Macaca mulatta: one gene and its partner. The protein of the gene in region 1 purifies or fractionates together with the protein of each later gene. This does not show direct contact. Links are inferred from orthologs where the notes say so. Each region holds a gene or a part of one and is shown on either strand. Other genes may lie near its edges. The genes, in order: FBXO38 and CUL1.

Evidence for each region.
Region 2: the proteins of FBXO38 (region 1) and CUL1 purify together in Homo sapiens (affinity purification with mass spectrometry; 4 studies listed by BioGRID, with this or other methods). This does not show direct contact. The link is inferred for Macaca mulatta from reciprocal best matches to the Homo sapiens genes FBXO38 and CUL1.

Annotation. Positions count from the first base shown.
Region 1 is NC_133411.1:157,407,014-157,422,573, forward strand, and holds the end of FBXO38 (F-box only protein 38), read left to right. Parts: coding exon 1-97; intron 98-5,432; coding exon 5,433-5,533; intron 5,534-5,643; coding exon 5,644-5,746; intron 5,747-10,004; coding exon 10,005-10,171; intron 10,172-11,313; coding exon 11,314-11,459; intron 11,460-12,132; coding exon 12,133-12,236; intron 12,237-12,839; coding exon 12,840-12,953; intron 12,954-13,567; coding exon 13,568-13,746; 3' UTR 13,747-14,160; downstream 14,161-15,560. UniProt on the Homo sapiens protein: Substrate recognition component of a SCF (SKP1-CUL1-F-box protein) E3 ubiquitin-protein ligase complex which mediates the ubiquitination and subsequent proteasomal degradation of PDCD1/PD-1, thereby regulating T-cells-mediated immunity.
Region 2 is NC_133408.1:188,571,062-188,586,621, reverse strand, and holds part of CUL1 (cullin-1), read right to left. Parts: intron 12,307-15,560; coding exon 12,132-12,306; intron 8,958-12,131; coding exon 8,790-8,957; intron 6,599-8,789; coding exon 6,548-6,598; intron 6,349-6,547; coding exon 6,258-6,348; intron 5,566-6,257; coding exon 5,402-5,565; intron 1-5,401. UniProt on the Homo sapiens protein: Core component of multiple cullin-RING-based SCF (SKP1-CUL1-F-box protein) E3 ubiquitin-protein ligase complexes, which mediate the ubiquitination of proteins involved in cell cycle progression, signal transduction and transcription.

The DNA of each region.
Region 1 (15,560 bases):
GAGAGTTGTGACGTGCAGTCTAATGAAGACTACCCTCGGAGGCCCCTAACCAGGGCCAGGAGCAGACTGTCCCATGTACTGCTGGTATCTGAGTCAGGTATGACAATGCTCCTAGGATTAGCAACTGCAGGGTAGGGCTGCAGAAAGGCATGAACTTGTTTCATGAGTTTTCTTACAAAAAGCCAGTTTGGCAAATTAAATTCTGTTTTGGGGTTTTGTGGGTCTTGCAGATTTTAAACCAATTTTCAGCAATGGTTTGGTGGGTGGGGGTGTAAAACAGTTTATACAATGTCCAACCTGGAAATCTCAAGTAGTTCAGCTTTTAAGGAAAGTGGCACTGTGTATATTTACCCTAAATATAACACTGACTGACACCTAAGCCCCAGTAGATGAACTCTGCTACCATCACACACTTAGAGAAATCTTAACTTAGGAAAGTTTTAAACCTTAGCCAAAAGGCAAGGACTTGACGTTGCTGGAGCTGGGGCAGCACATCTCCGTGCAGCTTCCTGGGTATAGCCCTCTCTTTGTCTCTGCAGGACTTAGTAATTTTTTCAGAAATCTAGTTTTGCTTCAATTCAAGTAAGGTTTGCCAGGAGATAAGCAGGTAAGTAAATGGTTTGGCTGAGAATTATTTTGGTGAAAATACTCAGAACAAATAATGTGTATTTAATTTCATTAATGTTTATAATGTATAGCCAAGGAATTGGGTGGAATGGGTGTAAGCACATTTATTAATCATAAGTCTGTTTCTATTTCTGATCTTATTTTTAAGTACTCTTTCCTGCCCTTATTATATCATTACTACCTGACAGTGAATAATAATGTATTTTAATTTTCTTCAAGTAGCCCTCAATTTTAAAATATTAAAATCAGTCCTAGAACATAGGCAGTCAGAGCTTTTTGTATATTCTAAATAGAAGTAATTGAATCATACAGAGCTAAACAGAACAAAAGTAAGCTTTCATGAGATACATTTGAGACCTTAATTGTGTGCTAGTTACCATAGTTGCATAAACTCATTGAAATAGATGAGTTTTATTTGAAGACTTTTTTATGCTTTGCAAACAGTAGTTCTGCCATATGGTGAAAATACTTTTCCCAGCTTCAATTGTAAATGTTTGATAATATCTTTTTTTTTAAATTGGTGGTAAGATATAACTTTACCATTCAGTACAGTGTGTAATTCAGCGGCACTAAATACATTCACCTTGTTATGCAGCTGTCACCACCAACCATCTGAACTTTTTCATCATCCCAAACTGAAACTCTGTGCCCATTAAACAGTATCTGCCTCCTATGACACCTTTTGTTCTGTGGCTTTTCATATTTGCAAAGTCAGATCTGCGTGTTTTCCTTTATGAGTTCATTTTTATACTGTGAAAGGCCTTTCCTACACTTGGTTCAGATAATTGTGCCCATCTTATTCCTTTATTCATTGATTTCGGTTTAGTTCCTTCGTTCAGTTGGAATTTTATTTCAATCTGTGGGAACTAATATTAAATTTTTATTCCAAACTATCACCAGCTTGTTTCAGTACTGGTTATGGATGTCCATTCTTGTGCTATTATTTTGAAACGCTCTTTTCTCATCTACTAAATTCTTAGACATACTTAGGTTAATCTCTGGTCGTTCTATTCTGTTCCAGTGTTCTGTCTTCTTTCATTATTCTTTTTCAAAATTTCCTTGACTAGCCATGCATTTGCCATTTATTTTTATAGATATGCTTTGTAATATTTTTATCAAGTTCCAAAAACTAATCTTGCTTTTTGTTTGAAATTGCATTCAATTGATAACTGAAACATAATTGTCATTTTAACAGCACTGAGTCTTCCTGTTTAGGGACTGTTATGTTTGCCATTTTACTTACATGTCTTGATAAAATTTTTTCGTTTTTTGTTGTTTTGTTTTTAATACAGAACCTTCATATTAACCATTGAAGTTTTGATGTTATTTTTTGCCTGGTGTTCTGCTTATCCCTTAACTATTCTGACTTTTTTCATGTCTAGAACTTTTTTTAAGTTAAATCATTCTCTGGATTTAAAATAAAGAAAATATTTATGTAGTGCTTCTTATTGCATTTATTATGTGATTTTTTTTTCAATTTGAGAAGACTTCTAATGTCTGTAACATGGTTATAGTAGGTAAATTATTTGCTAATATATTTTAGATTTATAAAAATGTCTATTTACTTTGAATAGTAGTTTTTTGGGGTAGATATCAAAGTACTGATTTTAATATTATTATAGTCCCTTTTGGAAAGGACAAGAAGTTATTTGGGTGGCTTACAAATTATTATTATGATTATTATTATTATTTTTGAGATGAAGTCTCACTGTGTCACCCAGGCTGGAGTGCAGTGGCGTCATCTCAGCTCACTGCAGCCTCTACCTCCCGGGTTCAAGTGATTCTCCTACCTCAGCCTCCCGAGTAGCTGGGATTACAGGCGCCTACCACCATGCCTAGCTAATTTTTGTGTTTTTAGTAGAGACAGGGGTTCCCCATGTTGGCCAGGCTGGTCTCGAACTCATGACCTCAGGTGATCCACCCACCTCAGCCTCCTAAAGTGCCGGGATTACAGGCATGAGCCACCGTGCCCAGCCCAAATTATTTTTAATCTGGCATGTTTTTTAAAGAGAAAAATCCAAACTAATAAAGGAAGAAACTTGAATGTTAAAGATTTTTAAAAATCAGTTCAAAAAAAAGTAACATTTGAGATATTTGGTTTTTAATTTATGACCCTGTGGAGTATTAAAGCCATTTGAGAAGCTAATATAATTGTTTTGTGAATTTATATTTTGGGAATAAATACCTGTAAGTTGCTTTTAATCCTCACTGTATAACAATTTATAAAGTAAATATTAGAGAAATAAATAATTGGATTGTCAAAGAATAACATTTAAGATTAAAATAGTTGCTATAAATGTTGAACACTTTCCCTGACACCCCAAGACTGGATTGATCTGCCTTTCTCTGTTTCTGTAGCATCTTCAACATTAATGTGAACCACACTCTGTTGTAATTTCTTGTTTTACTGTCTTCCTTCTGGTAGACTGTGAGCTCCATGAGAACAAGGACAGTCTCTGCTTTTTCACCAGTATATTTCTATCCTTTAGCACCATGTCTTACACATGGTATGGGGCTTAGATAATAACTGTGAACATAATAAGTATAGACATCATCATATGAGGTATTGTTGATGCTAGTGGATGTTTTGAATTACTAAAAAAATGTTCCTAAACAAAATTAATTTTCTCTAAACAGGGAGGGAGGCATAAGAGAATAACAACAAACACACAAACTTTTTTCCTTATGTATCAGAAATGTTTGTTTTTCAAGCTCATATATGTATAAAGTGTGACTTCATTTTATAACTTTTCTTAGAAAATGTAAACTACCAGTTTGGGTACCCTGGAGAGCAGGAAACTTTACCCAATTTTGAACTCCATACTCTGTTAAATTAAGGGGGAAGGGAGAGAGCAATCCAGGAAGGTGAGATACTTGAAAATCAGATCACAAAAGGAGATTACTGAGAGAAGATTCTTACTAGAACACTGTCATGTAGTAGTGGAAACAGGCTTGCTTTTTGTTTGTTCATTTTCATTTTTGTGGTACTGGGAGAGGGAGCTAGGACTTATTAGAGGTTTTAAAAGGTTTGTGAATTTTGGCTATCAGGTGAAATGTGCTGCCTTTAGAAGGTTCCTTGTCAATGAAGATGATTTGATTTTGGATGAAGTTCCTTCAGGATACTGTGGGAGAAGGCCTACATTGTGTTGTGTGGTTAGTAGTCTTCATGTTTTGTTGGAACTCCAGAATTTTGCTTCGTTTCAAGGTCCTTGGAGGAAGTTTGATGGGTAGAGCTCTTGGGCTCCTTTTCGGCCTTCAGCCAAAGCAGCTGCTTTGAATTGTTTTACAGAGTAGAATTTCTACACCATTTCAATGGTGTAGAAAGGATTTTGTTGTGTAAAAAAATGTAAAAAAATCAGACTAAATCTCTACGGTTCCCATCTAAGCCCAAGCCTTTGGGAATTTGCAGTATTCGTTCTCATTTCTTTGTCTTTTTTTGTGATCTTTCATGTTTGAGATTACAGAATTACTGATATTACAGAATTACCAAGTGGAATGTTTATAATTAGCAGTACTATCTAAAAAAACAGTATGGTGGTAATTTAATTCATGATAGTCAGTTGTATTTAATTCTATATATGCTCTGCTACAGTATGATTAAGTATCAAAAACGAGAATGATGACTAATGTATTTTCTTAGAATATATATGTGCTTAAGTTTTAGCTATGAATTTAGCACTCGTTTTTAAATTAAATAAGGACAATATTTGCTTATTTCGAAGTGTATTGCTTCAGAACAGTACTAGTAAATAAGGGCCTTATTAACCAGGGTTTGACAGATGAAAGATTGCAGGTTTTCTAGCTTAGTAACTGGTCCTTGATTTCCTGGGTTTGACTCCTGGTTCCCATTTAGCACTGTGGCAAGTTTTTGTACCTTCCCGTGCTTCAGTTTCCTAATATGTAAAACAGGGAGAACAATAAATCCATCTCAGAGCTATTGTAAGGATTGAGTTAATACAAGTAAAACCCTTAGAACAGTGCCTGACACACAGTAAGCGCTCAGTAAATATTTGTTATTCTGTTTTACCTGCGGTGCATTCATTCATTCATTCATTCTGTAAGTGTTGATGCCAGTTCATTCAATAAATGTTCATATTATCTCATTGCTAGTGACTGACTTTGAAATAAAGATGAATTAAGAGAGTGTTGTTGCCTTTAACGAGCTTTTATGTAAATAGACCAACAAAACAAGTATAAAAGGAACTATTAGGGCAGTATGTAATGTTTGGGGATCAAGGGTGCTTTGTTAGAACTAAGTGTTTGAGTTGGACCTTTCCCAGATGGGTCGTATTTCAAAAACTAGGGTCAGAAAAGGTGTTCTGAGCAGAAGAAGCTAGAGCAATTGATGACTTCGGAGACATTAGCAGTGGGAGATGACTAGGGTATAGTGTGGAGAATGGGCAGAGCTGAAGCATAGCTCCAAATGTCAAGCATTGAAACATTCATTCAGCTTCAGTCAATAATTTAAAAGTTTTTTAGTAGGAAAGATAGGAGTTCAATTCACCAATAGTATTTAGGATGGGATGAGTCAGAGAGACTGGAAGTAGGAATGTTTATTAGATTATTAGGATGACCTAGGTATGAGAAGGGTTGTTATATTTGATGTAGATATGTTTGAAGTAATGGAGGGTGATGCTGTTTTGAAACAATCCATTGGAAATACCAATATAACTGTATTCCATTGGGAACCAAATTTTAGATTTGGGAATTGCCTTGATGGTGTTCATACATATGTGATTGAATGTGTTTGAGGTAAAGAAAGCAAGGCTAAAGTTTTGGTTTTTCTTCTTTTTTACCTTTTTTAGAAGTAGCCAAAACAAAGCCACGTCACGCCATGAAACGGAAGCGGACAGCAGATAAATCCACCAGTACAAGTGATCCTGTGATCGAGGATGACCATGTGCAGGTAGAGGAAAATCCGTCACTTACCTTTATCACAGTCTAGCCCAGTTCCTAAGTAATGCATGCAAACTAAAGTTTGTATCTTTATATAGTTTCTAATTTTTCTCCTTGTAGGTTCTTGTATTAAAATCCAAGAATCTCGTTGGAGTCACTATGACCAATTGTGGAATCACAGATCTAGTGCTAAAAGACTGTCCCAAGATGATGTTCATCCATGGTATGTATTTGGGCCCATATTATACACGAGCATCATGAATGAGTTAAAAGAATTAGGAACTCATAAATACTGTAATAACATTACCGTCTTATTTTCTTAAAGGAAATATTGTGTTGGGTTATCTTTAGTTCCACCTTTGTTCTAGTTCTCAAAGTATTACTCCATAGTATTTCTGAGCATCATGTAGAGAAACTTGGTTCATCTTTTAAAATAGCCTGTCTCCAAAAGATAATTACTGCCTGATCTGGCAGAGTAAATAACAGCCTGCATAGGCTTTGGAGTCAGATAGACCTCAGCTTGATTGCTGGCTTGGTCATTTACCAGCTGTGTGACTTGGACATGGTTTTTGAGGGAAGCGCCGACTGGGCCTCAAGTGTATAACTGCTCTGTATTTGATTGAGATGATTAATTGTATCTTTACTTCATGGCACATTATCGTTTATCCAAGCCCCTTTTTCTTTTTAGTCTCGTGTCCCTCATTGTTAATCTCATCCGCTCCCGCCATCTATACTCGTGTATTGAACATATATCTTTCCAGTGTACCTTTTATATCTTTCTTTATATATGTGTCTGTCTCAAACATAGGGTATTCATTTTTATGATTTCTTAAAATTTTAGTTACATAGTATATCCTATAATTGATCTATTAATTTTACCTTTTTATTCAAAATTATATTTTAGATACCCATCCATGTAAAATTATGAAGATCTGACTTATTTCCTTGCCTTGGGCAAGTTTTATAATTTTCTGTCTTCATTTTTTTCAATCTGTAAACTGTGCGTAATTATGCTTAACTCATAAAGCATTTGTGAAAGTTAAATGCAGTGATTGATATGTTTCTGTATGTATATGTATCCAGGCATACCTCAGAGACACTGCAGGTTTGGTTCTAGACCACCATTATAAAAGGTATATCACAATAAAGCGAATCGTATGAATTTTTTTTATTTTCCAGTGCATATAAAAGTTACGTTTACACTATAGTCGATTAAATGTGAAGTAGCATTGTATTTTTTAAAAAAATTTATGTACCTTAATTTAAAAGCACTTCATTGGCTAGGCACGGAGGCTCACTCCTGTAATCACAGCACTTTGGGAGGCTGTGGCAGGCGGATCACCTGAGACTAGGAGTTTGAGACCGGCCTGGCCAACATGGCAAAACTCCGTCTCTACTAAAAATACAAAAATTAGCCAGGGGTGGTGGCTCATGCCTGTAATCCCAGCTACTTGGGAGGCAGAGGCAAGAGAATCGCATGAACATAGGAGGCAGAGGTTGCAGTGAGCCAAGATCATGCCTCTGCACTCCAGCCTGGACAACAGAGCAAGACACTATCTCAGAAAAAAACAAAATAAAATAAAAACACTTTATTATTCAAAGATGCTAACAATCACCTGAACCTTTAGCAAGTCATAATCTTTTTGCTGGTGGAGAGTCTTGCCCAAATGTTGAGGGCCTTGCCCTGGGTTAGGCTTTGGCTTAGGGAATGTAGTGGCTGGTTTGATCTGTCTAGACCACTCAGACTTTCTCCATATCAGCAATATGGCTCTTTTGCTTTCTTACCATTTGTGGGTTCACTGGAATAGCACTTGTAATTTCTTTCAAGAACTTCTCCTTGGCGTTCACACCTTGGTTAACTGGCACAAGAGACCTGGCTTTTGACCTATCTCAGCTTTCAGCGTGACTTCCTCATCAAGCTTAATCATTGCTATCTTTTTATTTTAAAGTGAGATTTGTGACTCTTCCTTTTGTTGGAACACTTGGAGGCCATTGTAGAGTTATTAATTAGCCTAATTTCAACATCATTATATCTCAGGGAGTAGGGAGACCTGAGGGAAAGGGAGAGACAGGGGAACAGCCTGTTGGGGGAGCAGTCAGGACATACACAACATTTATGAAGTTCACTTACATTGGTGCAGTTGGTGGCACCCCACAATTAAAATAGTAACATCAGAGATCATTGATCACAGACCATCATAATGGATAAAATAATAATGAAAAAGTTTGAAATACTGCAAGAATTATTAAAAATGTAACACAAAGACTCAAAGTGAGCACATGCTTGCTAAAAAAATGGCATTAGTGGACGCTCAATTCATGGTTGCCACAGACCTTGTGTAAAGAATGCAATGTCTGTGAAGCACAATAAAGTGCAATATAATGAGAAATGCCCATATATGTACATATACATGATATATGCACACACCCACACACACAGTACAGGGTCTGACCTCTAGTAATGCCTAGTGATGTTATTACACGTTGAGCATCTCTAATCTAAAAATCAAAATGCACAAGTGCTTTAAAATTCAGAACTTTTTGAGCACTAACATGATGCTAAAAGGAAATGTTCATTGGAGCGCATTTCAGATTTCAGATATTTTTTATTAGGGTAAGTATATAATGTAAATACTCCAAAATTTGAAAAAAAATTTGAAATCTAAAACACTTCTGATCCCAAGTATTTCAGATAAATGTTAGTCAACCTGTATTGCAAAAAATATTAAGAGGTTTATTTTGTTTTGTTTTACGTCTCCTACCATATTAGTGGTAAACAAAGAAATCCCGTTAAAAGGTATTTACCAAACATTTTGTCATAAAGTAAGGAGAATCCAAGAAAGGAGAGATGAAGCTGAGATTCAAGCACTACTCTGAATTCTACAAAAGTTCAGACCTTTGGGACCCCAACTCTATTGTTTACTCTGAAGAAATAGTACTTTTCTCTATCTCAGCCAATGAGGTCTTTGGTCCTAAAACATCTTAAATCACTGTCTCCTATTGGAGTTTCCTTCTACAATAGAGAACACAGGCTCTTCAAAAGCTCAGAGTTCATAACAGTAGGGGTACTCACCCTAGCCTTTCAGTAGCACTGGAAGAACTTTCATTCTGTCAGTCCCTACACCCTTTGAGCTCTGAGAATGTAAAACTCAATTTTCGGACTCTGCCGGTTGGCACCTCATTCCATTCCTTTCTCTACTCTGAGCTCTCCAAGAATCTGACTGGTTTTCTTCTTTTTACTTTGATGATTCTTCCTGTACATTCTCTAACCTAATGATGGATCACACGGCCTCAGGCCCAACCTTCTCCCCTTTAAACCAAATTGTTTGGCTCAGCTTATCATGGGGAGAGGATCTTAGCTTAGTCTGTAGATAGTGGCTAAGTTAATGACGGAGGAGATGATTAAATGAGATTAGAACTGACCTTAGCCATGTCTGATTTTATAGCTAGCAACCATTGGATCCTTACTGTCATCTAGCGCTTTCCTTTCCTCTGTTGCTGTCCTCAACACCAATTCCCCTCCTTTCCACCATGTCACAGAAGGAGAAAATGAATGTGAGAGGCAGGAGTCTCGCTCAGTGTTTAAATGTCAAGTTAGTTACGCTAGATTGCGCAAGACGATGATGACATTTGGGTCAAAGATGTTACAGAAGATGTCTGTGAAATGTTAAAAAGATCAGGCAAATCAGCCTGTGGTTTTATAATCTTTTCCATTTGATCTTCTCTCTCAAGTTGGACCTGGTTGCAGTCTGCAATGAAAATTGGACCAGGTTGAAATTTGAGATTAAAAAAAAGAGAAGGAAATATTTTTCTGAAGTTGGTATACTAGTTCAGTTAAATGTGTTTATTATATCAAAATTACTTTTTTCTGACTTCGTGTTTTATATATCAAACAGAAAAACTAATCATGTTTTAGACCAGCATTTCAGTAGAACTTTAATGTTCTGTGTGTACACTGTTCAGTATGATGGTAACCACTAACCACATGGCTACTGTATTGGACTGAATAGCTTTAGACCAAAATACCCAAATGTGTTTCTGGGTCTTTTTTTTCAAGGTTCTGCTTTTACATTTGTGACAGGAATTAAAATCCAACTCTGCTCATTCCTGAGAGTGAATGTAAGGTAATATAGGTGAATTATTTCAGGTCTGATTGTTAACTATAAAAATGTATAATAGTTATTCATTTTTTAAATAAATATTTCCTAAACAGTTTCTGTCTGGGCAAGTCATTTTCTAGGGCTTGGTTTTCTTAACAGTAAAAATCTTAGATAAAGGCACTTTAATGCACCCCTTCTACCTTCTTTTGAAGTAAACAGAACCACATTTTCAAATTTTTTTGTTAACTGCCATTTGTACTCTATGATATTATTTGACCTGTGTTAAAGATGTTTGTTACTGCAGTATTTTGTGCTAACAAAAATTAGGCCATCTCTCCAAAGATGATATGTATAGAGCTTACCATTGTTTTCATTTTGTAGCTACCAGGTGCAGGGTACTAAAACATTTAAAAGTAGAAAATGCACCAATTGTAAACCGATTTGACTACGCACAGTGCAAGAAACTGAACATGGATCAGGTACTAGACCAGATACTAAGAATGCCACCCGAGAGAAACCGCATCATATACCTACGCCCAATGCAGCAGGTAACGAGCTTTGCTCCTTTCCGATGATACACATATTGTGATTTTTTTTTTTTTTTTTTTTTAGTCTTTAGCCTTTTGGATTTGGCATTCGTTCACTTCCAACCTACAGTAATGATATTTTAGTTTTTACAAGTTATATGTGATGCAGGGAGTTGTTATTCAACAGGTTTTTATACTTATTAAAAGTTACTTGTGGTTAAGAACACAGTCTCTGGTTCAGACTGCCTGATTAAATTTCTGGCTGTCTGACCTGTAGCAGATTATTTGACTTCTATGTCTTAGTTTCTTCATCTGTAAAATTAGAATAATAATGGTATACCAAGGATTATTGTGATATTTAATATATGTGAAACTCTAAAACAGGTGCTAGTATATAGTAAGCCATCATATAACTACTATTAGTGTCATTATCATTATTAAGAGTATATTGTATATAAGGTTCTGTGCTTAATGCCAAAAGAGGGTTTAAAGGAAGTTTTAAATGCCCCTTTGTAATCAGTGTGTAAGCCTGGCCTCAAAAGAGTCAGTTCATCATATTGTCAAGTGTCTCAAAACTTACAATATGCCGGGTGCGAAAAAATACACAACACATGATCCTTCCCTCAAGGAGTTTGCCTTCCCAAAAGGGAGATAAACATATATGCCACTGAGATGGCAGAGTGAGATTTCATAACTAGAGATGGGAGAGGGGTATGCCATGAGAAAACAGCAATGTTATCAAAGGCTCCTAGAAGACAAGAGAATGCATTCTCTCTTAAAGACTGGGCAGCAGTCCCATTTCAATAGGGTATATGTTACTACACATTCACAGTTCTATAATGCAGTCAGTACTTAATAAAGGACATACCCAGAAGTAGATTCTGAGTTTACTGACATCATTTATCTCAATCAGGATTCTCTGGTTTACTAAGCATTTAAATATAACAGTGAGATATAAATTGCCAAGTTCCCTAGACAGAAGAGTTTGCAAAATTATTCCCAGCATGACAAACTGTTTTCAGGTCTGTATGTGACTATTTGATTTTCAAATCAACCAGAGATTTCAAAACGGAAGGTCCGTGGAAAGATTGTTGAAGCTCTAGCAGAGAGATTTCTAAGGCATTCTCTTTGTTGAAGGTGTCTCTTTATGATGTCTTCCGCAGGTGGACACGCTAACTTTGGAGCAGAAGCTGTTTAGTGGTCCCTACCCCTATCACATCTGTATTATCCATGAATTCAGCAACCCTCCCAATGTCCGGAATAAGGTGCGCATTCGCAGCTGGATGGACACTATAGCAAACATCAATCAGTAAGTAACTCTGTGGCCCCTAAAGGCCTTTTTAGTCATTTCTCATAGCAGGGACTCCCAGAAGCAAATCCCAATTTTTCTTTATTTTAAATGATTCCATCTAAGCTTTTCAGACAAGCTTATCCTGAAGTTAACATAAGTGAGAAACTGAGGGAAACGAGGACTTAAAAGTTAACATAAGTGAGAAACTGAGGGAAACGAGGACTTAAAACTAAAAAGCATATGTATATATTTATGATCTTTAAAACTCAGATAAAAATTACAAGAAAAAATTGTACATGTACTTGTAACATTATTTAGCCTTGGGGCATGAAAAAAGAGATCAATTTGAAGAAGATCTTAAGACTGATATTTTATATCATCAGAAAATTTGACTTTTGTATATTTGTTATATTAATGTTGCATTCAGCACCTTTTGTGTAGAAGACATGTGCTTAGAAAGTGACTTTCTTTCCCTGATATGATTTTGAAGATAGTGAAGAAAGTAGTTTTGACCTGACTACACTTGGATTCTCTAGTTTGATTGTATCCTACTTCTGTTAGGTATTTAATACTTTGTTTAAGATGTTTGGTAGAATCTGTGTCTGAAACAGTGTTGATGGTTCCTTCCTACCCGACACTCTAATTATTTCCAGTTTTGTAATTTTTACTTAATTTTTCCTGTTGCCTCCAGAGAGCTCATTAAATATGAATTCTTCCCTGAAGCCACTCGAAGTGAAGAAGACTTAAAGAAATACCCCAAGTACCCCTGGGGGAGAGAAATCTATACTTTAGAAGGTATTTACAAATATTTAGAAAGTTAAATAGCCTGTGCAGTAGCTTGCCCCTGTAATCCCAGCGACTCAGGAGGCTAAGGTGGGATGATCCCTTGAGCCCAAGAGTTCAAGACCAGCCTGGGAAACAAAACATGGCCCTTTCTCATTCACGAATGAATGAATGATCCATCAATCAATTAGTCAAACTGGTTTGGGCTTACAGCAAGCAGTAACCCAAATGTAGAGAATTATACTTTTTTAAAAAAGGAAAAGTTAAATAGCTATTAACTAGATGACTGGACATGCCTTAGGGAAGATATGAATGGGAGTCTTACAGTTCTTCAAAACATGGATGATTTTAATACCTGCAAGAAGTGGGAGCCAGATGAATATTGCTTTGCCTGTATGAGTCTTTACTATTTCTAGGACAATCAGAACCAGTGGTGAAACATAAAACATAAACAAAAATTACAAATTACTGTAGTTTGATAGCTGGAAATGATTTGAGGACACCTGACTCACTCTCTTTATTTTATATTTTACATTCTGCTTACAAAATACTGCAGAATTTGGCTCTATCAGCACTTCCACGCCAGTTAGCAATGTTACATTTGTCTTCTTTTAGGTGTTGTGGATGGAGCTCCATATTCCATGATTTCTGACTTCCCTTGGCTGAGGTCATTACGAGCAGCAGAGCCCAACAGCTTCGCTCGATACGACTTTGAAGATGATGAAGAAAGTAATTATGACCTGATTTGACATCTAATCTCTAGTTTAAGTATAGCCTACTGTGTTACATACTTAATATCTTTTTGTGAGTTAGGAGTAGTGCAGTGTTAAATGGTTTCCCATATAAATGTTTTTTATTTACTCACTTCAAAACAGTTCTTTATTTGTACAATAGATGTTCAGTAGACTTACTAGGGATATATAAAGGCTGGTAGAAAGGATTTCCTTGGACAGATTTTCCTGTGTGGAAACTTATAATTTAGGTGTAGAAATTTGGGGAGAAATTTTTGAATGTAGTTTCTCTAAGTGGTAGCATACTTGAATATTTATTGTTAACCAAAGTTTTAAGAAAATACTTTATAAGGAAATGGGTTTTATGAACTACATGTACACATGTCTGACTTACGTTTGGTATAGTATTTTTACCTTGAGACTTTAAGCATGTTCGCTGTCTTAGGCATCAAACATAAGAACAAACTGGTGGTGACCCATTCCTTGAGCTATTCATACATCAGTTACATTGTAGTGCAGTATATGGGAATATCCTATGGACCAGCTTATCAGTGATTTTCCAAATGATTCTGATTATCATATGTATCTCTCCTTTTATTTCTAATTTCAAAGGCACTATCTATGCTCCTAGAAGGAAAGGACAGCTGTCTGCAGACATCTGTATGGAAACAATAGGAGAGGAAATTTCAGAGATGCGTCAGATGAAGAAGGGTGTATTTCAGCGAGTAGTGGCAATTTTTATCCACTATTGTGATGTCAATGGAGAGCCAGTTGAAGATGACTACATTTAATTGGTCCCTCCTCCTTTCCAGCTATTTTGTCAGAAAGCAAGTAGGACCATCCAGCTGCCAGAGTGCTCCACAGAGACTTGAGGCATGCAGTTGGGAGGTCCTGGCTCAGTTTGCTATATAGGGAATGTATAAGGAACATCGAAATTGTATACAAAGATTTGTACATAAAAAATATACAAAGACGCTTCCTAAAGTACCAACTTTATATCATATGTTTATACAATTTAATTTAAAAATTCATTTTAATGAAGACAGATAATTTGAAAGACTTTTGTTTTTCTTGACTTAATTCATAAAGTATCATTTTTTGACTGAGTCTCCATTTACTTCATTCTTAATGATTATTGTCATCCCTTTAAATCTGTGCCTTTTTCTTCTTGAGCGAAGCTGTTTGAGTAAACCTGTTGAAGAGTGTTTGTGTCTTGTGTGCTTTTTTGTTGTTACTAAAACACCAACTAAACCTTATAGTCAGACAAGGCTATATATGTTTCTGTACAAAGCTGTAGTTCTTTCTTAGTATTATAGTTGCCATGTTTCTTAAAATCAAGTAAAAAGACTTATGAGCTTAAAAAAAAGTGAGTTTGAGAGGGAAATGGAAAAGTTTCCAAAGTATTTCTAGTAATTTATTTCCACATTGAATTGTGTATATGCTTTATCTTAAATATAAAATAAAAGTTTATTAAAAACTTTTCTCTTGCCTTGGACCTGAATCCCTCTTTTTAAAGAAGAGTAGCAAATACTGCTCAGAAAAGCAGTGTATATATAGAGTTGTATCTAAGTAAGATTCCAGTGTAATCCAATTTCTGATCTCTGAAAGTTTTTAGCTACAAGATGTTCAACTCACAGAACTTTTTTTGTTCGTTTGTTTTGGTTTGGTTTTTTTTTTTTTTTTTTTGAGATGGAGTTTCACTCTTGTTGCCCAGGCTGGAGTACAATGGCATGATCTCGGCTCACTGCAACTGCCTCCCGGGTTCAAGTGATGCTCCTCTCTCAGCCTCCTGAGTAGCTGGGATTATAGGCGCCCGCCACTATGCCTAGCTAATTTTTGGTATTTTTAGTAAAGGCAGGGTTTCACCGTGTTGGCCAGGCTGGTCTGGAACTCCTGACCTCAGGTTATCCGCCTGCCTCGGCCTCCCAAAGTACTAGGATTACAGGCAGAGCTCTTTAAGACAATACTGGGAACAGCAGAATTTTCCAAAATTCTGGTCATCAGGAGGTGGTCTTTCTCCCCTTTCAAGGTGAGGAATTAATTGCCCTGATAAGGCAATGATATACATAGTATTATAGTGTCAAGCAAGGGTTGTCAGCAAAAGCTTAAACACCTATATTTGAGTCATGGCTTTGTGACTTGCCAGCCAAGTGACCTCAGCAAATTACTGAAACTGAAGGCCTGTGGAAAATTTTTATAAATTTTCTCTAAATAGACATGAAATTATGGTCTAAGGTGTAAAGTTTCTTTGAGAATTGTTCAGCCCCTTCATTTAGAAGGTCTTAATTGGAAGCCAAGGGGAAAAATTGCTCACCCACGTTTAGGACCTGTTTTTAGGCTAGGTAGGACAATAATCCCAATTTCTCGTTCCAGCTAGGCTACCTCTGTTTTTCATGACAGAAATACAAGGATGCCAGCAAGTTTTTCTAACACTCAAATATTCCACGTTAATCAGTGTCTACCCTTCAAGTTCTCTTTTTTCCCCAGGCTCTAAAAATTCTCATTACATTAGGAAGAGTGATTCAATTAGGTACTTCATTCTATTGTCTCCTTATTACACTATTTTTAACTCAGCTAACTTATAATTAGACAAGTATGTTTCACT
Region 2 (15,560 bases), on another chromosome or scaffold:
GAAGCAGGAGGATGGCTTGAGCCTAGGAGTTAAAGGATATAGTGAGCTATGATCGTGCTGCTGCATTTCAGCCTGGGCAACAGAGCAAGACTCTGTCTCTCAAAAAAACAGAAAGAAAGAAAAAGGAGAAAGTTCTTTGATTTTACAGTAAACAACCATATTTAAACAGCCACTGATGTCTGCCATTTTCTCTGCAATATGTATTTCCATTCCAAATTTCCTTTTTAAGTGCCCTAACAACATCATCACTATTAACAGTTCAAATGTCTTTACATCCATTTGAACCCTCAGACAGTGGTATTTCATCTTTTTGAGGTAATGTCTCTGCCACTCTAAGAAATGAATGCATCTTCTGTGCAGATACTAAGATGTGCTACTTTAGATTAAAAACTACTTGAAGCCAAGAGTCACACAAATATAAGCCCTGAAGTGATTACATGGAAATCATCATCAGAAATCAGACTTTTCAAAAATTTAAAGAGAAACTACTAAATTATCAAAGCAAGGAAGAAATTTCAATAAATTATTCAGGTGATCTGAATAAAGAGAATTATATTTTGAATTATAAAAATGCCAATACTCCCCAAAATGATTTTTTTTAAAAAATATATTATTTTCAGAGACAGGATCTTGGCCCTGTCTCCCAGGCTGGAGTATAGTGGCACAATCACAGCTCACTGCAGCTTCAAACTCCTGGGCTCAAGTGATCCTCCTGCCTCAGTCTCCTCTGTAGCTGGGACTACAGGTGCATGCCGCCACACCCGGCTAACTTTTTAATTTTTTCTAGAGACAAGGTCTCACTATGTTGCTCAGGCTGGACTCAAACTCCTGGCTTCAAGCGATTCTCCTGCCTTGGCTTCCCAAAGTTCTGGGATTATAGGCTGTCCAGCTACTGTGCCTTGCCCAGATTTTCAAATTCAGTATAATTTTGGAGAAATCTGGAAAAATTCAACTGGTAATGAATCAATACTCAAGAGCCAAGAAAACATAAAATGAAAAAATGATTGGGTGGGACTTGTACTATCAAGAACTAATAATAATGGGACAATTGTTTAAACCACCTAAGTCAGAACCTTATTACACATTCTAAATAGCTAAATGTGAAAATAAACTTGGAGAATATCTGTAGTATGTATCAAAAGGTCAATATTCTTAATATATAATGATCTCCAGCAAAGCAGTGAGTACCTCCAAATACAAACATGAGGAAGGCAACTCATAAGTGAAGAAATAGAAAAAAGCTTGAAGTTATTGCATTTCCAATCAGAGTTATTGTATGTTCAGTTAACGAAATATCATTACCCACTAAAACAAACACCAACTACTAATAACAAATCATTAGTGAACAAGACACAAAAAACCTATACCATGATTCCAATGTGGTTTATATAATTAGCAACAGTGCCCCAGGCTTGTAGGTTTATGTTATTTATATTTTCCAAAAAGTCTACAGTTAATGTGTAATTTTGTTTTTCTGATTATAAAGCTATTTTAAAACAATAAATGCTGCTTCATATCTAATGTTCCACTAACACTGATAACTCAAGAACCTAAAGCTGGTGGAATATAGAACATGCAAACCAAACAGCACCACTTTTTCTGTTTTAAGTTAAAACTCTTTCTTGGAAGAACATAATCATCTCAGGCAGCAAAACATACTTTTACCCCTTCCCAGATGAAAGATCAGGCTTTGATGCCATTGCTGATTCATCCTCTGAGAGGCAAAGCTTTCCACCTCTTAGTCTACAGACCCTTCCTGCAGGGGCTGAGGGGCAGGAAGAGTGAACAGGTACCTAGGTGATTACAGAAACATTCATGGCCGAGGGGCCTCCACACTAGCTTATTTTATATATTGGCAAGGAAACCAAGGCTGTAGGTATTGTCATCAGCTTTCAGAAAGGACAGTCATTTAGGTGCTCTATTGATTCCAAGTCAAAGAGGCTCCTGCTCATCACTGCACTTGGCAGGCTGTTGTATTAGAACGCCAAGGTCAAATTCAAATGACTAAATAAAATACGTAATTAAAGATGGTCTTTATTAATTCAACGAGGATTTGTTCTCAGTAAAAACAAAAGGAAAATAAAACCCAAAAAAGATAAGCACATTAATGAAGTATGGTATTTTTTTTAAGTTTTTAAAAATTGACATTAGAAATCTTAGTCATACAGAGATTCTGTAGCTCAGATCAGTCTCAATTGTATGAGACAGTCAAATCTTTCAGAAACACTAACATGGTTCACTCTTCAAAGCCATCCTTGGAAAGACAAGCCAAATATTCCAGATGTTTCCTCTAAAACACTCCTAATAGAGAAAAGTGAACACAAACCCAGGGAATCTGAACTGCTCTCAACTGGCTAGACTTTGCAGAGTATTTCTTGAAGGGTCACGTTTTATCTCAATGTTGTTCTATTTCCTGATAGAATGTTTGCTGTAATGTAAACATAATTGCTCCCTAAGTTATTAAGTAAGATTTGCCACCCTTTATCCTGTGGTTTTGCATCCTCCCAGGCATACACTGGAGGTTTTGTGGGATATATATTTGTAATACCAAATACATTAGCCTTGCTCTTTGCCACACACCATTCTAAGCACCTTTTAACAAATAAATACCTCATGTTAAAATTTGTAAATACTAAAGCTCACTTAATCCGCATTATTACCTATTATTATTATTCACATTTTACAGATAAGGAAATTGAGGAACAGAAGCATTAAGGTTATCCCCTTAATAAATGGTAGGGTGGGGATTTAAAACTAGACTCATAGCACAGTTTGAGATGCAAGGCTATAGGATGAGAGCAGAATTACATGGTCAAATTCCAATCTTACGCTTATAGACTCTCTGCATTATCAACTTTCAGAATGTGATGGAAGTCGTGTTTGGTGTGATCCAGGTGGATTTGGGCCAAACCTTTAACTCCTCTAGAAATGAATCCCCTGTATGGGAACCAGGATGTAGGAAGCACACTGCTTCCTTGAAGGCAGGGCTCATGCTGGATTGGACGCATCCAGGCCATTGGAAATCCTTGCTCCTCAACTGTCTTTGGTGTCAGGCCTGGTTTTCAAAACAGATTTACCTGTTCTGGGACTGCTTCCGTAGTTCTAGCCTAAAACACTGGTTTCCTTGCCCTAGAGCACTACTACTTCATCAGTGTGGACAAAGGAGATGACCACAATCCTCTAATAAACCCATAAAAAGAACAGGCTCGCACCACTGTCATGGATGTGCATCTGGATAAGAGGTCTTTAGGGACATAGTTTTAAAAGAATCACCACATACAGCAGAGTTTAATAAGAGAAGTGTTTAGGAATACAACACTGTCATATTAAACAATGAAATTACAGGCAATGCTAACATTCAAAACAGATTATGTTTCAAAAGTTCATTTGTTAGGCAGTTGTTTGAAACTCTGGGTGAGCTGGTTAGGTTCCAGATCAGCATACAAAAGTCAGTTTAGCCCACCATTATACACAAGGAACTATTAATATTCCCAGTATAATACTCTGAATAGTTCCGTTTTTGTTAAACTTTGAGATAGCAGAAATTTGTCAAGGACTTTCAACTTCAAACTTCTAAGCCCATTTATAACCACTATCTCCTATAGGAAAACACATTCAGGTCACCACAAACAAACCAGACAGAACTTTCTCTATGAGGTTAGAGCGGAGCTGTTGCTTTTAATTGACTTTCTATCTCAGTTTATGGAAAAGAGATTCCGCAGTCCATTCATGCTCCAAGTGAACAGGGAATAAAGGGCAAGCAGGTGTCAGGCTTGCAAAGATCCAGACTCCTGGAGATCTCCTAGTATAAGGGTCCTCAAATGCTGGGCTGGGGGCCAGTATGGCTCTGTGGCCTGTTAAGAACTGGGCCGCACCACAGGAGGTGACCAGCAGATGAGTGAGTATTACCACCTGAGCTCTGCCTCCCGTCAGATCAGGGCAGCATTAGATTCTCATAGGAGCTCGAACCCTGTTGTGAACTACGCATGTGAGGGATCTACGTTGTGTGCTCCTTTGATCTGAGATGGAACAGTTTCATCCCCAAACCATCCCCCTTCTTCCCCCCACCGCCGTCCGTGATGCCAAAAGGGTTGGGGACCACTGTCCTAGTACAGCTAGGTCAAGGGTCAGCAAACCGTAGCCCATAGGCCAAATTCGGCCTGCCTGCCTTTTTCTGTAAATAAAGCTTTATTGGAACCCGGCCACACTCATTGGTGTACATATCCCACTGGCTGCTTTGTGCTGCAATGGCAGAGTTGAACAGCTGCAAAAGAGATCACATAGCTCACAAAGCCGAAAGTATTTCCTATGTAGCCCTTTACAAGATAAGTTTGCTGACTCCAGACCTATGTCATTCCTTAGAGTCTAAATCCAGGATGTCTGTATTTCTTTTTTTTTTTTTTTTTTGAGACGGAGTCTCACTCTGTCATCCAGGCTGGAGGGCAGTGGCACAATCTCGGCTCACTACAACCTCCCCTCCCAGGTTCAAGTGATTCACCTGCCTCAGCCTCCTGAATAGCTGGGACTACAGGCATGCGCCACCACGCCCAGCTAAATTTTTTTGTATTTTTAGTAGAAACGGGGTTTCACCACCTTGGTCAGGCTGGTCTCAAACTCCTGACCTCAGGTGATCCACCTGCCTCGACCTCCCAAAGTGCTGGGATTACAGGCGTGAGCCACCGCGCCCGGCCAGGATATCTGTATTTCTAAAGAGAACAAAGAATAGTAATTCTACTAGATCTTTATTATCAGCGGGCCATGGTTACTCACATCTGTAATCCCAGTAATTTGGGAGGCCCAGGTGGCAGGATCACTTGAGCCCAAGAGTTTGAGACCAACCTGGGCAACCTATCTCTACAAAAATAAAACAATTAGCTGAGTGTGGCGGCTCATGCCTCTAATCCCATTACTTCTGGAGGTTGAAGTGGGAGGACAGCCATCCTCTCATATTAGAATTTAAATCCTGGTTTCAGAGGAACCTTTCCTCTAATATAATCCTGAAAGCTATGTAACAGATTCTTAGGGGTATTTTAGAAGCAAAAAAGGAGAAGCTTCAAGTTTGCAAATCTAAGAATATTTGTTTCTTAAAATTTTCTCATTGACGTGACTGTTATGCCCATTATATACAAATCCACATTCTAGGATAAACAGTTAAAAAAGTCATGTAGCTATTATGGTTATATCCTTAGAACAGCAAGGAGAACTCTTAGTCATGATTACCAAATTAATTTACAGAAGCTCCTTGGAGAATTAGGAGAAGCACTTGCACCTGATGAAGACACTATAGAAAAACAATGCCCAACAAATGACTTGTAAAGAAAGCTGTATATGCTAAAAAGAACTCACTTGAGTAGCAATGACTTTAACTTAAGTCTACTTAAAGTACTATATTGAAGCTTACCTTTTTCATATATTCAGTAACTGGGTTCTGCTGCAAGAATTCAGTACTCTCTCTGGTATAAAATCTCTCTGTGTCAGCCAAAAATTGAGATTCAAAGGATTCTTTATACACTGTTAACGTAGGGCCCTTTGCAAATGCATCATCTTCATTCAGCCCCAATTCCACTAGAAATGAATATGAGCTATATTTCAATTACCCTATTTTTTTGGTTATATTTCACAGAATATACTTAGGTGTAGCATTCAGTTTAAGTTATGTTTAAAAGGTAAATGTGAAATGGCAGGACATAAGTAACTCTTACTCACTAGTATTAAAGTACACTCTTTCAATAAAATAAAAAAGGAAAAAAATCCAAGATGTATAAAAAGCAAGTAATTCTGACCCATGGCCAGGTATGCTTCAAAATTATGATGAAGTTCCTTTAGAGAACTTTTATATTTCCAAAGGCAATAAAAATAACTAATTTTAAATTTGCAAAGAAATACAATGCTACCCAAGTTTTTAAGACATTGTATTACTTTATCAGTTTCTCAATCTCAATTTTTCAAGCTGATATAGATTTCTGGTTATCATTGAGCTCACACTCTAACATGTCCAGTAATCCACTACGAGACCAGAAAAGAAAATAATTAAAATGTCTATTTCATCAAAATTTCCTTAAGGCACACGGATCAAACAGCTTTTATGATGGATAAAAACAAAGTCACACTGACTTAAAAAGAAAGAGAAGTACCTTCGTAAATGCTAACAATGTCCTTTATAATATGAAAATATTTTAAAGTGAAATCTGTTAGAGCATTGTCATAATTGCCATTTGATGTGGAAACTTTGAATAAACTAAAGGGAAATTATTTACCGTAAGACTGTACAACTCCACTAATCAATCTTGTATTGATGGTTTCACCATTCCTTTCCTTTTCAATCAGCTTTAAAACAGCATTTGTTACCTTTAGAAAGGATGTAGAAAAATATTACACAGGTTATAGAATATGATATATATTACTACATATCCCTTAAACATTCACAGCCATTAAACAATGTAAGATGGGATAATCCAAAGGAGTGAGCAGACAAAGGCTAAGCAACGAAACTGTGAAGGGATTTTAAAAGGAACACGCACACGCACACGCTTACACCAGTAGGTACCTGTTTATTCAGTGGCCTGAACAGACAGTCTCTCCAAGTCACCAATGCAAGCTGGAGAAAAAAAAAGTACAAAATATCTATACTTTTACTATGTTTTTCCAAGATTGAAGTCATAGGAAATAATCTAAATCTCAAATTACTTCATCAAAATTTCTAGATTACAAGTTGGTCAAAATCTGCTATCATGACGAAATCAGAAAGCCACTCTCTAGAGTCAACAACTTCAAGAGGTATCCAAGCACAGACATTTGTCAGCTCAACTTCTTTATTTATATTTTCTTTAACTGTTGTTGAAAACAGTATAGGAAAAGTTTAAAAACCGTAATTATTTTTAGGAGTCTGTGATGTTACTGTAGGGTACACATTTAGGTCAAGCAGGTTTCCAAAAGGAAATGAACCAAGATCATCCTGATTCCTATACTAACAACTTTTGAGTCTCAAGAAAGCATTTATATGTGAAAAAGAAAAAAAATCCCATTAGCTATTCCACAATACACACATATTTCAAAAAGGCATGGTGTACACATTTTTGTCAGTTAAAAAAATAAACAAAATGTTAAAGGGGAAGCACAAAAACCCCAAATCAAACAACTAAACCTAGAAAGTTTTGTTAGAACCAGACTAACTACATAGCAAAGTATCATTATGAACCAATTAACAATTTTGGTATAGAAACTGGAGTTACACAAACAATAAAAACAAGTCATGCATCTGGGATACATTATGCTTTTCTTTCTTTTCTTTTTTTTCTTTAGACAGGATCTCACTCTGTCCAGTGGTACGATCATGGCTAACTGCACCCTCCACCTCCTGGGCTCAAGCGATCCTCCTACCTCAGCCTCATGTGTGGCTGGGACTATAGGTGCCTCACCATGCCTGGATACATTTTTTTGTACGTCTCATTATGCTGCCCAGGCTGGTCTCCTGTCTCGGTCTCCCAACGTGCTAGGATTACAAGCATGAGCCACTGCAACCAGCATTATGTTTTTCTTTTAAATTTGTCAAAAGTGAAGCTACAAAGTATTGCTATTATAGCAACATTCTTGGATATGGTGATTAACTTCTTTATGTAGAATCTGACATTTTAACAAAACTAGTTTTAAAGGGCATTGCCTGTGTTGATCACGAACAGACTGTTCTGAGTCCTCCCTTAATTGCTCTAGAACACTGGTTCTCAAACTGGAGCATGCATCAGAATTGTCTGGAGAGCTTCTGAGTCCTCCCTTAATTGCTCTAGAACACTGGTCCTCAAACTGGAGCATGCATCAGAATTGTCTGGAGAGCTTGGTAAAACATTGCTGGGCCCCATCTCCAGAGTTTCTCCTTAAGTCTAGGATGAGGCCTAAGAATGTGCATTTCTAACAAGTCCCCAGGTGATGCTGACAGAGCAGGTTTGGGGACGTGATACGGTTTGGCTATGCCCCCAGCCAAATCTCACCTTGAACTATAGCTCCCATAATTCCCACATGTTGCGGGAGGCACTCAGTGGGAGAGAGCTGAATCATGGGGGTGGTTCCCCCACACTGTTCTCATGGTAGTGAATAAGTCTCACGAGATCTGATGGTTTTATAAGGGTTTCTGCTTTCGCTTGGCTCTCATTCTGTCTTGCCTGCCACCATGTAAGATGTGCCTTCTGCCATGATTATGAGGCCTTCCCAGCCACGTGGAACTGTTGAGCCCATTAAACTTTTCTTTATAAATTACCCAGTCTCAGGCAGTTTTTTATCAGAAGTTATGAAAACAGACAAATATGGGACCATACTTTGAAAGCCAATGGACAAAAAAACCCCTTTTGCTGACTGAAGCAACATATATTAATGAGAGTGATTTAGTAATTAATTCAGGGTCCTCTCCCTGAAGCAGGGTTTACCAGGCTATAAAGTATGGGAGGGCTAATCCTCAGGGCTCGCCCTCAGGTATGGCACCTGATTTGCCTGGGACTGCCACGACTCAGGACTTTCAGTGAGAAAACTCAGGCAGTTCCATGCCAATTGTGATGGTAGGGTCAGGTAATTAAAGAAGAAATTTTTAAAAAGCAAATGCAGAAATGGACAAATTGTATTTTAGAACTCCAATTTACCCATTCCTCTACTTTCTTGCTAAAAAATATTTAAGGGACATTTATTGATAAAACAATGAAAATTAGTTTACTACTCTGAAAAAAGCTTAATATTTGCCTAGATTCTCTTACTAAAAGACAATTTATCATTTTAAAAAAACACATTTAAAACAAAACTCTTACTGAATAGATTTCATATATTCCTTTTCGTCCTTCGTCACATTCACGGCGAACCCAATGTCTATTGAGGTAGGCACAAATTCCATTCAGTACTTTGCTTGAAAATCGATAATCTTCCCATTGTTGAGTGTAGAATTTCAGTACACTCTCATCCATCAAATCTTCTCCATCCTAAAAACAAGTTAACTAAAGCTTTAAGATGACTAATTTGTCACATTATAAATTAAAAATAAAAGTGAGTAACATCTACTGTATTAAAATACATTGATACATGTGATTTTAGATGGCTTCTTTAAATTATTCTGTATACAAAAACATGCTAATAAACTCACAAGAATATAGTAAAAACAATTCTTTCATCTCAAATTAAACAGGAACATTTTTCATGGTATTAAATATCCACAAACACTCAAAAAAAGTACCCTGAACATTTGATATGCAGGTAATTCCTTTTTATTAAGAAATTTACCTCAAAATCATCTGTATTTTTAATATTTTGTTTAAAAAAAAAATTGGCCAGGTACAGTGGCTCACACCTGTAATCCTAGCACTTTGGGAGGCCAAGGTGGGCAGATCACTTGAGGTCAGGAGTTCAAGACCAGCCTGGCCAACATGGTGAAACCCTGTCTCTACTAAAAATACAAAAGTTAGCTGGCCGTGATGGTGCATGCCTGTAGTCCCAGCTATTCGGGAGGCTGAGGCAGGGGACTCGCCTGAACCCAGGAGACGGAGGCTGCAGTGAGCCAAGATCCTACCACTGCACTCTAGCCTGGGCAACAGAGCAAGACTCTGCCGCCCCCCCTCCCCCGCAAAAAAGAAATCAAATCAACATGTCCTACTCAGCAATTCAGACAACGAGGCTAATACTATTCAATTTTTAAATGTATCTTCTTCCTTCTTAAGAACCACAAAACACTTTTTTGTGGTAATCTGTAAAAATAATGTGAGTACGATAGTATAACAATACTTCCTCTTTAACAAGCCCTCATAAAGAAAATGTGCATTTACCAAAATTATTTTTATCCAGATTTCTACAACTCGAGTCACGAATTTTTATTTGAAGGAGACTAGCTTGAAATTTTTTCTTAGGGATTAATGGCATCTACAAAGTAAGCTTTACCCTTTAAAAACGTTAATGGCGGCCGGGCGCGGTGGCTCACGCCTGTAATCCCAGCACTTTGGGAGGCCGAGACGGGCGGATCACGAGGTCAGGGGATCGAGACCATCCTGACTAACGCGGTGAAACCCCGTCTCTACTAAAAATACAAAACTTAGCCGGGCGCGGTGGCGGGCGCCTGTAGTCCCAGCTACACGGGAGGCTGAGGCAGGAGAATGGCGTAAACCCGGGGGGCGGAGCTTGCAGTGAGCTGAGATCTGGCCACTGCACCCCACCCTGGGCGACTGAGCGAGACTCCGTCTCAAAACAAAAACAAAAACAAAAACGTTAATGGCACTGTATGGCAGCACTGCCATTTAGGTGTGTGGAGCAGAGAAGCACGAAAGAGGAAGGTGGGGGCGGAAGGGCTGCAGGAAGGGCTGGGGCGAGCCCACTGGCTTCTCTGAGCCTCAGTGTCTTCAGTGAAAACTAAATGGCTACGACAGACTTGAAGCTCCACCTGTATAAGGTACACGAGTGACCGAACAAGCCATGTAAAAACCTGATCATCTCTTGACACACATAATTTTTTGTTCATTTAAATTTAAGTAATATGAAATGAACTTTAAAATGTAAAGCTAAGCTATTTTGGTTGATGGTAGCTGACCTTTTTAAAATGCAAAAATATCACTGAAGGCATGGTCATCAACATGATTACTTAGCACAATATACTGTTTCTTACTTTAGTACTAAAGAATAATTAATTAGAACATTCACTTTACAATGTGTTATGAATAAAAAGAACAGTGGCTTCAGCAAGACCTTAGAAACACCATGTGAGGAAGACGAAAATAATACACTAGTCACAACTTGTGGCCAGCCAATTACATACAGTCTGTTAGCATGATGTTTTAAAGTCTTCAATTAGCTTGTAAAAATAAATTAGGTAAAACAATTTTGCAGCATGCAGAAATTTCTGCACATCGTGTAAATCAAAACTATTTAAAATATATACACAGAAGAGTTCCTGCAAATGTCCCTGGGTTGAGAGTATAGATGTCTTCACTCTGTGACAGTGTAGAACCAGACGAAGGACCCACTCGCTCATCTTGTGGCTAGATACAAGGAGTCACACTGCCTTTGCTACAAAGGATGAAGACCAAGGAAGAAAAAGGCGGGAGATGAACGGGAAAAGACTCCACCACTGCCCAACCAAAGGCTTGGAGTGGGAGGGACCTATGCTAGAAGGAAATGGATATTCACAGTGAAACTCATCCTAGTCACGAGCACAACTTCACAGCAGTTTTGAAATACACGTCATGGCCAGGCACTGTGGCTCACACCTGTAATCCCAACACTTCGGGAGACGGAGGCAGGAGGACTGCTTGAGCCCAGGAATTGGAGACCAGCCTGGGCAACATAAAGAGACCCTGATTCTGCAAAAGATTTAAAAATTAGCTGGGAGCTGGGTATGGTGGTACATACCAGTAATCCTAGCTACTCAGAAGGCTAAAGCGGGAGGATTGTTTGAGCCCAGGAGTTGGAGGCTGCAATGACCTATGATTGGACTACTGCACTCCAGCCTGGGTGACAGAACAAGATCCTGTCTTTAAAAAAAAAAAAAAAAAAAAAAGGGAAAAGAAAAGATAAAAAAAAAAACAAACTTCACAACCATGTGTAAAGAGCAAGATCACATTTGAAAAAAATGGTTTCCAAGACTGAATAACCTTACAATTATTTATACACCTGACAGGGAACCCCACGTTGGGTTTACAGTAAATGCAGGTAACATGAATATGTATTTGCTTTAAATAAAAAAGTTAATCACTTCTAACCACCAAATCCAAAATGGTTGGTAACTTAAGGAAGGTACTATTATGCTAAAAGGTTATCAAAGCTTTCTAATTTTAAAAAACAGAATGAGCTGGGCACAGTGGTAAGAATTTGCAGAGTCTCAGCTACTCAGGAAGCTGAAGTGGAAGGATCACTTGAGCCCAGGAGATCAAAAATCCAGCCTAGGCAACATAGTGAGATCTCCATCTCGAAAAAACAAAACCCCAGAATATACTTTATGATGATTTCATATTCACAGTAGGTAAAAGACTATGCAATAGCAAAACACTGTCACCCACATTAGTGTCTAAAACATAACAGATGACAGTGAAAGATTTAACAAGTTAGAACCACTATTTCACTCCTTTTTTAAATATCCTGTTATGAATACTCAGTATATATGTGAAACATCTTACCTTAAGAAGATTTGTCAAGTAATTCTTCAAAAATTCCTTAAGTCGTTTATACAATTCCAGGCCAACAAACTGAGCTCCTCCAGGTGTCTGCCCCTTTTTCGACTTAGAAGGAGGAACTCCAGCTCCTCGTGCTTGGTTTGACTGGTGAACACTAGTACAGTAGTTATAAACATGACTTGGAGAGAAGTTAAGGAAACCAACATATATCACAGACATTAACGGTCATTAACATAAACATATTTTCTTATATTTCATTACCAGTGCATTCCCAATATATCAACCAAAACCTGTTAAAAACTAGAGTGGAACAAAGATCCCATTCACACTATCCATAAAGCTAAAGGCAACAAGCCCCATTCACAAGGTTCTTGGTAGGCCTTGAGAGCAATGCCGCCAAGGTGGAGAAGGGAACATTCCAGGAGGGAGGCTGCCAATAAAAAAATCTGGACCTTTTACATTATCTAATGTGACTGACCTTGTGGAAAACTGTCCCAAAAGGAAAATGCAATCACTGTCTCCTGGAAAAGCAAACAGCTAACAACAAGCACTGTCTATTATGATGCTCAGCTGTAACTTTTTCAGAGGCACACATTCTAAATATTGAAATAACACAAACTTTATTTTAAAATGACTTAGAGAGCCAAGTCCTTATATTACAATAGTCGTAGACGTCTAAAACTTATCAGTCAATGGCAGCAGTGTCCACACACTACTGAGAAATACAGAGATGTATAAACCACAGCAGAGACAGCTGATTGCAAAACAGCTGCGTCTGCAGGGGGAGCACAGAGAATGAGAAGATGGGGACGGGCAGGGCAGAGAACCACCATGTTCTGTTGTATCCTTTAAATACGATGAGCTTATCTGCATGTATTATTAATTGACTAAAATGAACGGAAAGATACTTATACTCAGAAATATCAACAAAACAGAACAAAACAATATTCTGGTATAATTAAGAATTTACTACATAAAGATACTTCAAGACAATGGGTAAAAGATTATCTAATAAATGGCATGAGGCAAGATATTTCTAAATATTCCATGTTATATTCCAAAATATATTACAAATGGATTAGGATTTAAAATATACAAGCTAAAACAGTAAAACCAAGAATATATATGTGAACACTTATCTGTTCTCAGGTTGGAGTGGCCGTTTCTAAGTAAGGTCATACAAAAAAATGAATTCAGGCCGGGTGCGGTGGCTCACGCCTGTAATCCCAGCACTTTGGGAGGCCGAGATGGGGGAATCACGAGGTCAGGAGATCGAGACCATCCTGGCTAACACGGTGAAATCCCATCCGTTTGGGGTCCCTGACTTCCCACAACATGTCTCTACTAAAAACACACAAAAAAATTAGCCGGGCATGGTGGTGCGCACCTGTAGTCTCAGCTACTCGGGAGGCTGAGGCAGGAGAATGGCGTGAACCCAGGAGGAGGAGGTTGCAGGAAGCCGAGATCGTGCCACTGCACTCCAGCCTGGACGACAGAGCAAGACTCCGTCTCAAAAACAAAACAAAACAAAACAAAAAACAAAACAGAGAATCACAGATTACAATAAGCAACTACTGTATACTCATGACCCAGTTTTGACAGATCTTACTGCGTTCCCACACTTGTCTCATATTTCACCTACAGTCCCCCTCAACTTTTGAGAAAATAAAATATTACAGGTTATAAGTGAAGCACTATGTTCTCTTCTTTCATCCCACTCCTTCCTCTTACCCTAGCAAACACCACCATGTTTGGGTATGTATCATTCCTGTTTTTAGATTTTGCTGGATAAATATATATCAAATATATTTCACATGTCCTACATTTTGTTTTGTTTTTTTTTTTGAGATGGAGTTTCACTCTTATTGCCCAGGCTGGAGTGCAATGGTGTAATCTTGGCTCACTACAACTTCCGCCTCCCGGGTTCAAGCGATTCTCCTGCCTCAGCCTCCCAAGTAGCTGGGATTACAGGCAGGCGCCACCATACCTGGCTAATTTTGTATGTTTAGTAGAGATGAGGTTTCTCCACGTAGGTCAGGCTGGTCTCAAACTCCCAACCTCAGATGATCTGCACGCCTCAGCCTCCCAAAGTGCTGGGATTACAGGCGTGAGCCACCGTGCTTGGCCATGTTTTACATTTTTAAATTACACAAACTCTAACATGTACATTTGCTCTGTCATTTGTTTTTGATGGTATTTGACATAGCCACAGCTGTAATACACTGTGTAACACACATTTATAAAACTTTATCAACTCTCTTGGTGGTGGACCTTGATAATGGTCCTTTTGGCAGGTGCCTTTTTTGTGTGTATTTACAAAGCTGCAAAGAATAAAACTAGCAGGTCTCCTTGCATACATGTACAAGTTTCTTGGAGCACATAAATACTAAGTGACAAGAGACTTATATTCTTTCTTTTTTTTTTTTTTTTTTGAGACAGAGTCTCACTCTGTTGCCCAGGCTGGAGTGCAGTGATGCGGTCTTGGCTCACTGCAACCTCCCGGGTTCAAGCGATTCTCCTGCCTCAGCCTCCAGAGTAGCTGGGATTACAGGCACCTGCCACCATTCCCAGCTAATTTTTGTATTTTTAGTAGAGACAGGATTTCACTGTATTGGCCAGGCTGGTCTTGAACTCCTGACCTCAGGCAATCCACCTGCCTCGACCTCCCAAAATTGCTAGGATTACAGATGTGAGCCACCTTGCCAGGCCCTTTTAAACAATTTTTTTGTAGAGATGGGGTCTTGCTATGTTGCCCTGGTTGGTCCAAAACTCCTGGGCTCAAGCAATCCTCCTGCTTTGGCCTCCCAAAGTGGTAGGTTTAACTTTATTAAGAGTTGCCAACTTGGTGCTACAAAGCGGCTGTCCGGCACCCTGTAGTGCATGAGTTTTCATTGACTACAACCTTGGCCATGCATTCATACTGTGGTTTATCATGGTTTTAATATCCATTTCTAGGGCATAGGCAGAGTTTTTTTTTTTTTTTAAGAGACAGGATCTCACTATGTTGCCCAGGCTGGAGTGCAGTGGCTATTCACAGACATGATCATAGCATGCTACTGCCTCAAACTCTTGGTCTGAAGTGATCTCCCACCTTAGCCTCCTGTGAAGCTGAAAATTCAGGCACATGCCACCACATTGGCTTGACTTAGCACAGTTCTTTTAAGGGCCTTAGGATTTTCAGAATGGTAAGTGAACACTCCTTTCAACAAAGTCACCAGCTACATTTACCCCTAAGAGAGTCAGCCTGTCCTCTGAAGCTTTGACACAAGCATTAACTTCTCTCTAGCCATGAAAAAAGTACCAGGTGGCATTGAATACTATGCAGCCATAAAAAAGGATGAGTTCAGGTCCTTTGCAGGGACATGGATGAAGCTGGAAACCATCATTCTGAGCAAACTATCACAAGGACAGAAAACCAAACACTGCATGTTC